3 linked regions of the Arabidopsis thaliana genome follow. The protein of the gene in region 1 interacts with the protein of each later gene in a biochemical or structural test. Each region holds a gene or a part of one and is shown in the gene's direction. Other genes may lie near its edges.

The links.
Region 2: the proteins of LKP2 (region 1) and CDF3 form a complex in vitro, tested with the Arabidopsis thaliana proteins (one study listed by BioGRID).
Region 3: the proteins of LKP2 (region 1) and TOC1 form a complex in vitro, tested with the Arabidopsis thaliana proteins (one study listed by BioGRID).

Annotation. Positions count from the first base shown.
Region 1 is NC_003071.7:8,195,474-8,199,230, reverse strand, and holds the start of LKP2 (LOV KELCH protein 2), read left to right. Parts: upstream 1-1,747; 5' UTR 1,748-1,975; coding exon 1,976-2,220; intron 2,221-2,848; coding exon 2,849-3,757. Other genes in the region: AT2G18920 (uncharacterized protein), read left to right, coding at 1,071-1,478.
Region 2 is NC_003074.8:17,503,971-17,507,727, reverse strand, and holds the start of CDF3 (cycling DOF factor 3), read left to right. Parts: upstream 1-1,603; 5' UTR 1,604-1,763; coding exon 1,764-1,904; intron 1,905-2,246; coding exon 2,247-3,452; 3' UTR 3,453-3,757. UniProt on the Arabidopsis thaliana protein: Transcription factor that binds specifically to a 5'-AA[AG]G-3' consensus core sequence. Regulates a photoperiodic flowering response. Transcriptional repressor of 'CONSTANS' expression.
Region 3 is NC_003076.8:24,672,926-24,676,682, forward strand, and holds the start of TOC1 (CCT motif -containing response regulator protein), read left to right. Parts: upstream 1-2,037; 5' UTR 2,038-2,614; coding exon 2,615-2,747; intron 2,748-3,064; coding exon 3,065-3,226; intron 3,227-3,362; coding exon 3,363-3,496; intron 3,497-3,646; coding exon 3,647-3,757. Other genes in the region: AT5G61370 (Pentatricopeptide repeat (PPR) superfamily protein), read right to left, coding at 1-546. UniProt on the Arabidopsis thaliana protein: Controls photoperiodic flowering response. Component of the circadian clock. Expression of several members of the ARR-like family is controlled by circadian rhythm.

The DNA of each region.
Region 1 (3,757 bases):
TGGAGTACATCTATCGGTTGGTTTTAATTTTCCTTCACTTCTAAGTAGTTCGTCTCTTCCTCTTTTAAGAAGTCGAAGATCACTTCTTTCCTGCCAGTTATTAATATTTAGTTTTCTAATATCCTAGAGTATATGTTACAAAACCAAATTCATTTGTATTATTGAGAATGACTAACTGTTTCATTCGCTCCCTCTTGTTCATTCACTCCCATCGTTTCATTCGCTCCCTCCTCTTCATTCGCTTCCTTGTGATTTTCATCCAAGGACTCCAGCTGTTAAATCAAGTAAAGTGAGAACCAAATTCATTTGTATTAGAAAAAAAAAAAAAAGACAATTCACATTTGCATCAGCCGATTTACTGGTTTTCTCCGGCAAAGTCTCGACCACCTCAGTGACATGTGAATGGTCAACCCATCTATTGCTTTCATTCCACTTGTTTGGTGGCTCTCCCATCTCCAAGGTCTCGTCATTCCTAATCGGAAAACTATTTAGTGGCTCTCCCAAATAGTTCGGTTGTATGCGATGGTGTTAAAGCAGATGCATGGAACATGTGCAAATACCATACTCAATTGAGAGGTGTATTCCTTGGGCAATATAACTTTGCTATATGGCTGCCACTTAATCTGAAAAAATATAATCTAAGTATTTAATATAGAACAAATGCATATGACAAAGAGATGAAATTTTGTTAGGTACCTCATCTTCCTTCATGTCTACAAGCATCTCTTGATAGTGTCCCCCACTTCTGTTGGCACAATTTTTGGTATACGGTTTATATATCTTTGCCCACTCAACCATTAAAGGAAAACTGGATGGAAATAGTTGTTGAAAGATAGTAAATCGCTCTAATGCAAATACCTACACGAAAAAATAAAAAACAATTAACATTATACAAATAATCAACATCAACATAATTAGTTTTTGTTTCACATAAAAACTTTACTTGCAGAGCAAAGACAAAACCGCAGAAAAATGTGGTTTGACCTTTAGTAAAAGCCTTCTTCCATTTGCATAAAGCGTCTTTTAGGATAGTTGAAGATGATGTCTACCCTCTAAACACACAAGATTATATGGCAGACACCACCCAAAACCAAGGCGTAACACAAACACGTAACAGTGTACAAACTTCTTCTAGACGTGCAAGGCAACCTCGAAGAAGGTCTATCATTGAAAGCGTGATCGAAAATAGTGGAAACTTTATTACGGAGTATCGTGAAAGACGGGGTGTTGTACTTTTGTATCAAGATGTTATTAACGCTCTTAGACGTCTTGATGTCCCGAAGCGTACACCATTCTGGCGGGCTGCAGTACGATGTCTTGCTCAAGCCAACTATGCATCGGCTTTTGTTGCTCTAGAAGAAGAGGAAAATATTGATTGGCTTGAAGCTATTACTGGATTCAGCAAAGACGGAGAACGTTTCGATGAGCAAGAATTGGGTTTTGGATGCAATGGTTTCATGATAAATTCAAGTTTCTAATGTTTTTAAATCAATAAAACTGATTCTAATACACTCATTTGGTAAAACCAAAAAAATCTCATAAGAAACTTACAGGATATTTTGTGTAAACCGGATAGATAAACTAAACCGGTAAGGTAAAATTAAGAAACCGGTCTGGTTAAAGATGGAAAAGGAGAGGCACTGAGAAGAGCCGAGTCATCGACCGACCGAATCATCTCTCTTCTTCTTCTTCTCCTCCTCTTAGAAGTGGGCGGTGGAGACTTCCATTACCTACAAATATCAGATTCCTCTTTTCTTCGCTCGATTCCATTTCAAAATCTGTTCTTCTATCTCCTGTTCCTGAAGAAGACGATTTCTGGGTTTGTCTAAAGTTTGGAACTTTTTTCCTGTGGAGACTTCGATTACCTACAGATATCAGATTCCTCGATTCAAAATCAAACTTTGTTCTTCTGGGTCTCTTCTCCTGTTGCTGAGGAAGAAGATTAGTGGGCTTAAGCTTTATTTTGTGGGTGTGTATGCAAAATCAAATGGAGTGGGATAGTGATTCCGATCTCAGCGGTGGAGATGAAGTGGCGGAGGATGGATGGTTCGGTGGAGATAACGGAGCGATTCCGTTTCCGGTAGGTAGTCTTCCTGGCACGGCGCCGTGTGGGTTTGTGGTCAGCGATGCTCTTGAACCTGACAACCCTATCATTTATGTTAACACTGTTTTTGAGATTGTTACTGGTTATCGAGCTGAAGAAGTTATTGGTCGAAATTGGTGAGTTTGCTCTTCTTGACTTTTACCCTAAATTTGTGGTGTTGATTTTGTTTTACTGTAGCGAATTTTGTCTCATTTGTGGTATTGGTACGATGTTACTAGAAAGCTTTGTTGAAAGCTGTTTTGACAGAAAGAAATTTATATTTCGATTCATTATTATGGTTCTTGTTGATTATGTTAGGTATTATTAGCTAGAACCATTTTGGAATCATGGGTTGGTTATTGAATTAGAAGTTTGTTGTGGAGGAACTAAGCTATAATGTGAGGTTCAGTTTGTAATGTTTCCTATGTCTGTGGATTAGTGTTTAGGAACTCGAACTTTGATAGTTTTTCACATGTCTTGATTGGTTTATGAAAGCCTTGGGATTATTGATTTTTGTAATATTGAATTGTAATGCGTTTTTGTCTAAGTATATATGTTTCTGTTGAATATGTTTCTCTTGGGTTTTAGCGGCTTTTGATCTGGTATTCCATGTTAATTATGCATATAGTTTAGTCTTTGTTCAATACTTGTGTGTGAGGAATTGTTCGCCAAAGTACTGTATCTGTTTAGTTGTTAGTTATCTATTCGATGAATTGAATAGGAGGGTCTTGTATCTGATTTGTGCTGTTGTTTTTTATTTGGCAGCCGTTTCTTGCAATGTAGAGGGCCATTTACTAAAAGAAGGCATCCAATGGTAGATTCTACAATTGTAGCGAAGATGCGACAATGTCTAGAAAATGGCATCGAGTTTCAAGGCGAGTTGCTCAACTTTCGGAAAGATGGATCTCCCTTGATGAACAAGCTGCGTCTAGTCCCTATCCGTGAAGAAGACGAAATCACTCATTTCATAGGCGTTCTCTTATTTACAGATGCAAAAATTGATCTTGGCCCATCTCCTGATTTATCTGCAAAAGAAATTCCTAGAATATCTCGCTCATTTACTTCTGCTTTACCAATCGGAGAGCGTAATGTTTCTCGTGGACTCTGTGGGATATTCGAACTGAGTGATGAAGTAATAGCTATCAAGATATTGTCACAGTTGACTCCTGGTGATATTGCATCGGTTGGTTGTGTATGTAGGCGGCTCAATGAGTTGACAAAGAATGATGATGTGTGGAGAATGGTCTGTCAAAACACATGGGGTACCGAGGCAACACGTGTTCTTGAGAGTGTTCCCGGTGCAAAAAGGATTGGTTGGGTGCGACTGGCCCGAGAGTTCACCACTCACGAAGCAACAGCATGGAGGAAGTTTTCAGTTGGAGGTACTGTTGAGCCTTCTCGGTGTAATTTCAGCGCATGTGCAGTTGGGAACAGGATTGTTATCTTTGGCGGGGAAGGTGTGAATATGCAGCCGATGAATGATACATTTGTGTTGGACCTTGGCTCGAGTAGTCCCGAGTGGAAATCTGTTCTGGTCAGCTCTCCTCCTCCGGGTCGCTGGGGTCACACACTTTCTTGTGTCAACGGTTCCCGTTTAGTAGTGTTTGGAGGTTACGGGAGCCACGGATTACTCAATGATGTGTTCTTATTAGACCTTGATGCAGACCCACCAAG
Region 2 (3,757 bases), on another chromosome or scaffold:
CAGCCAATTATCTATTGACATGACATTAAAATCCAACCTCCTTTGCTTTTTTTTTTTTTTGCTCTTATTCTGATCTTAAATCTCTTTATCTTTTTTTTTTCTTTACGTCCATAAATTCTTTAGAACAAAACCATAAAACACAAGTTTAATGGTAAGAATAAAGGAACAAAATCACCAAATGAAAGCAAAAAAGAAAATCAAACGAAATAGATATCAGACTATTAAGAAAGAGAGACCATGGCATTATTACTATATCAATATGAAAGAGTTTTAGTTACTATTGGGCCAAACCAAAAAAATGTTTGAACACTAAAATAAGAGACAACAAACTAAGAAAATAGTCAAAGAGATTATTCTCTTCTTACTAAAGAAGGATGAAAACATCATCTAGTTCACAGCAATATCTGGAATGGAGGGTTGCCTAAACCTCCACTCCATTGAATGTGCATAAACTACTTTCAGATATGCAGTTTTGTAGTCATCCAAGAGATCAAGTTTTTTGAAGACATAGTATTGGCCAAGTTTTATAATCTACACAACAGCTATTACGAACTCACCCTTATCACCATACTCAACAACTTTTTCGGATCGACTAGTATCATTACTAAATTTGATTTGGGGTTGCTTTATCCAGTTAGAAAAAACTGATATCCAATTCCAACGAGGTCTAATATCTATTCTATAGAAAATCAAACTGTCCTATGGTATAGCAAAATGTTTAGTTGTATAGAATCTAATCTAAAGAAATAAATTATACAAAACGGTAATGTTATAAATTAGGAAAACATCTACATAGTCAAATCCTAATTATTACATAGATTGTGTTTTTTTTTTTCATATCGATTGTGATGTTATTTTGCATAAAAGTTATATGACAATAAAAACTTTTAGTATGAAATTTTTTACCTAAAAATTGGTAGACGAATGACCGAGAGATTGCCAAAGATTATAGTTAACATTTAAAATGAATACAAATACCATGTAATGATGTAAAAAAAAGTATTAAGTAATTTTGAAGTGTCATGATGCTTACAGTGAAATTTGTTTTACAATCAGTGCCAAATTTTACAACTATAAGTAAAGTTGAACGAAAATCCTAGAATCTATCAAATTTGAGCACTATTATTATAGTTTGCACTCGATGATTTACAAAATTCTTTGAATCCATGGTACATCCAACAATTATCCTCTATTACAGTTTTTAATGAAGAGAAAAATATGTAGAGATGATTTATAAAGCAAAAAAAATCAGTACATTAATAACCAATATAATATGTTGCTTCATTTTTAAACGCCAATTATAAAAAACAAATAAACAAATTTTCACAATAAAAATTAACTTCTTTTCTGATAGGAAACTAAAAAAAACTGATACTTTTAAGTTTATGATTAATATTATATATATATATATATATATAGTTTTGAATGATCGAATAAATATGTGCGACAGAAAATAAAGGAACAAAAAAAAAGGATTAGATGCGAATAATACACATAAAAAGGTAGGAAATATTAATGATTAATTAATAAAACCCGACAACCCGACCCGGTATTAATGAGCGAAAAGGAAAATATCAGAGGCCACATAAACTTGTGGCTGAGAATTGAATTGTGATGCTGACGTGTTTCCTCCTTCTCTTTTAAACTGATCTTCTAAATCCCTAAATTTCACCAATTCACACTCTCCCAAATCTCTCTTCTTTAACAACAAAAAAAAAAATCACAGAGACATAGAGAGAAGAAGAAACAGAGGCTCCAAAAAAATGATGATGGAGACTAGAGATCCAGCTATTAAGCTTTTCGGTATGAAAATCCCTTTTCCGTCGGTTTTTGAATCGGCAGTTACGGTGGAGGATGACGAAGAAGATGACTGGAGCGGCGGAGATGACAAATCACCAGAGAAGGTACTGATTGATAAAAAGTAATTTTGGCCTGAAAATTGGAATTGTCCTAAAAATAAATATGATTAGATTAGTTTTGTACTAGTAATTAACTTAACTAGTTACTTCTTCAGTCTCTGTTTTGTCTGTTTTGGATCTACAATTTGTGTTATTGAGTTACATGAACGAAATTATAACATAGTTCCAGTCTTGTGTTACCATTAAGATATTACTAGTTCATTTAGTTGTTAGAGATTATTGGTTCTGAACTTCTGATGAAGAATAATTGTTTGATTAAGATTTCATAAAGAGAAACTTCTTTTATTCATTGCAAGTGTTCTTAATTTAGTGTTTCTTGTATCTCAGGTAACTCCAGAGTTATCAGATAAGAACAACAACAACTGTAACGACAACAGTTTTAACAATTCGAAACCCGAAACCTTGGACAAAGAGGAAGCGACATCAACTGATCAGATAGAGAGTAGTGACACGCCTGAGGATAATCAGCAGACGACACCTGATGGTAAAACCCTAAAGAAACCGACTAAGATTCTACCGTGTCCGAGATGCAAAAGCATGGAGACCAAGTTCTGTTATTACAACAACTACAACATAAACCAGCCTCGTCATTTCTGCAAGGCTTGTCAGAGATATTGGACTGCTGGAGGGACTATGAGGAATGTTCCTGTGGGGGCAGGACGTCGTAAGAACAAAAGCTCATCTTCTCATTACCGTCACATCACTATTTCCGAGGCTCTTGAGGCTGCGAGGCTTGACCCGGGCTTACAGGCAAACACAAGGGTCTTGAGTTTTGGTCTCGAAGCTCAGCAGCAGCACGTTGCTGCTCCCATGACACCTGTGATGAAGCTACAAGAAGATCAAAAGGTCTCAAACGGTGCTAGGAACAGGTTTCACGGGTTAGCGGATCAACGGCTTGTAGCTCGGGTAGAGAATGGAGATGATTGCTCAAGCGGATCCTCTGTGACCACCTCTAACAATCACTCAGTGGATGAATCAAGAGCACAAAGCGGCAGTGTTGTTGAAGCACAAATGAACAACAACAACAACAATAACATGAATGGTTATGCTTGCATCCCAGGTGTTCCATGGCCTTACACGTGGAATCCAGCGATGCCTCCACCAGGTTTTTACCCGCCTCCAGGGTATCCAATGCCGTTTTACCCTTACTGGACCATCCCAATGCTACCACCGCATCAATCCTCATCGCCTATAAGCCAAAAGTGTTCAAATACAAACTCTCCGACTCTCGGAAAGCATCCGAGAGATGAAGGATCATCGAAAAAGGACAACGAGACAGAGCGAAAACAGAAGGCCGGGTGCGTTCTGGTCCCGAAAACGTTGAGAATAGATGATCCTAACGAAGCAGCAAAGAGCTCGATATGGACAACATTGGGAATCAAGAACGAGGCGATGTGCAAAGCCGGTGGTATGTTCAAAGGGTTTGATCATAAGACAAAGATGTATAACAACGACAAAGCTGAGAACTCCCCTGTTCTTTCTGCTAACCCTGCTGCTCTATCAAGATCACACAATTTCCATGAACAGATTTAGAGTTACATATGTATATGTATATATGTATGATTGATTGTATGTATAGATGATACTGGAGAATGATGAGTTTTTGAGAATCAAACTCTTTTCTTCTTTCTAGTGATTGCCTTTATTCCTTTACATGTTTTGGTTCTCTGTACACTATTTGATTTACCTTTTTTACTTTCTTTCTTCATTTGTCAGGAAATGTTGGAAGATAACATTAATGGTAAAAAGTTGGTGTGGACCGTTGTTGCGTTGGCATTTCAACCGACACTCTTCTGACTCTTCTTTTGCAACTTCTTTGTCTTGTGAAGAACAAATTT
Region 3 (3,757 bases), on another chromosome or scaffold:
AGCGCTTATAATAGCCGTCACAGTGAAACCATCTTGTGGGCAAGAAAATTTGTCCAAGATCTTGAAGATACCTATTGCATCTTCTTCCTTACCAACCTTAACCAGAGTTTCAGCGACAATGCTAAACGTTTGCTTGTCCATCGCCCGATTCTCCTTCCTGAGATCTGATAAGAGTATCTGCATAGCTGTGTGATCCTTCTTCTCAGCCAAAACTCTTAGGACATAGTTGAATTCCTTGTCGTGTAAACTAGATCCCAAGCTTTTACACGACCAGGAGAAAAACCTCAACAGCCTTCTCGGTGAAGTCTCGTTCTTGCAAGACTCAATCACTTGGGTAACAAGGTTTGATGATGGAGAAACAGAAACCTGGTTCAAGTTTTCTTCAAGGTCATCTAGACCACCAACTGGAGAAGAAACTATCCGAATAACTTCATGCAACGCCGTTTCCGATCGGTCAACTAAATGGTGAGAGCAAAAGTAACGTGTCAGTTTTGCAGTACTCGTTAGATACGTAAACCTGTTTAATCTGACTGTGGTGGACATCATCTTCTCTGAGGAATTTCATCAAACACTTGATATGCGTATGCTTCTTAAAAGCCGCCAAATATAAACCATAGAAGGGACTCTCTCCTGACTTACATGTTTCTCAGAGTATTTACAACTTCGTTGTAAATTCTTTCAGCAACATGAAATTCAGATTTCTATTAAAAGACCTAAATTTGCAGATTTCATGAGATCGCTCGGCTCAACAACAATATATATTCATTTGTTGGAAACATTGCCCGCGTGTCTGAAAAGGGCATTTTAGTCTTTTACATTCCATCACGCTTCAAATTCAGAACCGGATAAAACCGATAATCGTGAGATACGATGGTTATAACTTATAAGTCACTAACCGGAATGATTACTCTCGAAGGCCGCCGATGCATATTGGAAAATCGAACTCCCGATAAAATAGTTCTGAAATTACACGAATAATTAACATCATAAAGTCATAAACAAGTTATTGGTCAATGGTCGATGGCAAAACGTAATAAAAGTTGGACCGGGACAAAACGTGTCTTACGGTGGATGAAGTTGAGAATATATCATGCATTATTGGTCCACTTGTACTAACGATATTCGCAGCTACTAATATGAGCCAATCGGTAATACGAAATATTTTAGCTTGTCGACTACTTACTTTCTATATAAAAGTTTAGCCTACTAATTATCTCTTTTTATGATTATGACAACTTGATTATTTGTTTCCCAACCACTGATGATGAGATTAACCATCTTTTTTGCTAAGAAGGTAAATATTTCATCTTGCTAATGTCCTGTTTACAAGACAATTTGCACACATACACTTATAACATTAGAAAAAAACACTTGAAACTTTGTTACAACATATCATTTAGCTTGATTTTTCAATCACTTTAAGAAGTTAATGAATCATAATGCCTAAATAAGTCCTCTATAACAACCATGAAAGGAGTGTTATATCTATAACCCTGTGCTTTTAGAAAGAATCATAATTTTTAGGAGTCTTTTGTGATGAGAAATTGAGATGTAATAAAAGTAAAATTTTCTATATCTGTATCTTTCGTTTTTTATTTTTATTTTGTTTGTATCTTTAATTCTTCAGTACCTAAAGATAACAGAAAAATAAAATTCTGATAATAGATTTTCTTGTTGTTATAAATATATTTTAATAAACGAAACGAAGCCGAATCCTAAAATTTGGTTTCTGATGGTTTGGTCTGATCTGGTCATATATTTTAAAAGAATTTGCAATTTTTTCTTTCTGTCGACCTTTTGATATGTTTGTTGATTTTGATATGGAGATGCATCTTCTTATCTTGTATCTTACCACAATAATATCAAAAACAAAAATAAATATCATGAGATATTTTCTCCAAGATGACGTGGCCTTTTCTCTATCTCAACCAAACTATCCAACACAACCTTTTTTTTTATGGCCTGCACTTTTTATTGTCCACGTCATCTCCTTGGCCTAAAATATCCCAAGTCCCACCATTAAGCTACACAACAACGCGTAAGAAAAAGACTTAATCTCCACCGTCCAATTCTATCCTCTTTCAACGGTCTCTGATTTACCATCTCTCTCTCTCTTTTTCGCGTCTCATAATTTGACCATTGATTGACAAAACAAAACAATGAGTCTTCTTTCTCTTCTCACTCTTCTTGTCGGAAATTCACCTTCTCTCTCTCTCCTCCTCATCTCACCGCCGGCGTTACGCCGGATCTCCGGTGACTTTTGTTGAGCTTTTTTGTTGATTCATGATTCGATATAGAGAAAAAAGAATTTCCTATTTCAGCTCTTTGTTCTTAGATTTATCTTTTTGTTTGTTCTTATGGATAAAGGATTAGGTTGGGGGATTAAAAGAGTAGTTTTTGTTTGGTTGTGAGATTACTTGACTTTGTTAAGGGGATAAATTAGGCGACTTTGTAGGGACACTGTACCGAAAAACCCTAGTTCTGATTTGGCCATGGAAGTATCATAGCACTTACTATTGTCGGCTTTACTTCTTCTACTTTTGTATAATCCTTTTTTTTCTTAGGTTCTGTGATTAGATATTTTTTTTGTGTGGGTTTAGTTGTTAATCTGATCATGGATTTGAACGGTGAGTGTAAAGGAGGAGATGGGTTTATTGATAGAAGCAGAGTCAGGATTTTGCTTTGTGACAATGATTCCACGAGTTTGGGAGAGGTTTTTACTCTCCTTTCAGAGTGTTCTTATCAAGGTATGATTTATAGGTTTGTCCTTGTCTTGTTCCCAAAGTTTCTCTTTTTACTTTGTTATTTTTTGCTAAGTTGGGATTACTACTTTAGATTGCAGATCTCTTATAGGTTCTTGTCGTCTGGCTTTTTGAGTCAGTATGGTCAGATGTGATCAAGATGACATTTTTAACCTTTGTTGATTTTAGTACCTTATTGATAGTTTTTGAATGCATCTCTAGTGTGTATTGCTTTCTATTTTTACACTATGCTCAACTGTTTGTTGTTCAAGACTCAATGATGATATATTGGATGAATTGTTTTTATTCTTTTTGGAATGCAGTGACTGCAGTGAAATCAGCAAGGCAGGTGATTGATGCACTTAATGCAGAGGGACCTGATATCGATATAATACTGGCGGAAATTGATCTCCCAATGGCTAAGGGTATGAAGATGCTGAGGTACATCACACGAGACAAAGATCTTCGCAGAATCCCTGTGATAAGTAAGCTGTGTTCTTTGTTGCTCTTCTCGTTTTATTATCTATTCGTGAAGTTGTATCTTCTCTGCTTATCAAAGTGCTTTTGACAGCATGATCATTAGCTTTATACTGACTAATCTTATAATATTCTCAATTTAAGTGATGTCGAGGCAAGACGAAGTCCCTGTCGTTGTAAAGTGCTTGAAGCTAGGTGCAGCTGACTACCTTGTGAAGCCTCTTCGCACCAACGAGCTTCTGAACTTGTGGACACACATGTGGAGAAGAAGACGCATGGTTTGTTTTGCTTGTCTCAAGTTCTCTCTATTTATCTTACTGTTTTTGAGCAATACTTGATAGCCATATCTCTCAATCTGTCGTCTTCTGAAATAAAAGACCTTGATGCATGAAGTTAATGCTATTGATTTCATATATTTGTTTTGGCAGCTAGGACTTGCTGAGAAGAATATGTTGAGCTATGATTTTGATCTTGTGGGATCTGATCAAAGTGATCCAAACACAAATAGTACCAACCTGTTCTCTGACGACACAGATGAT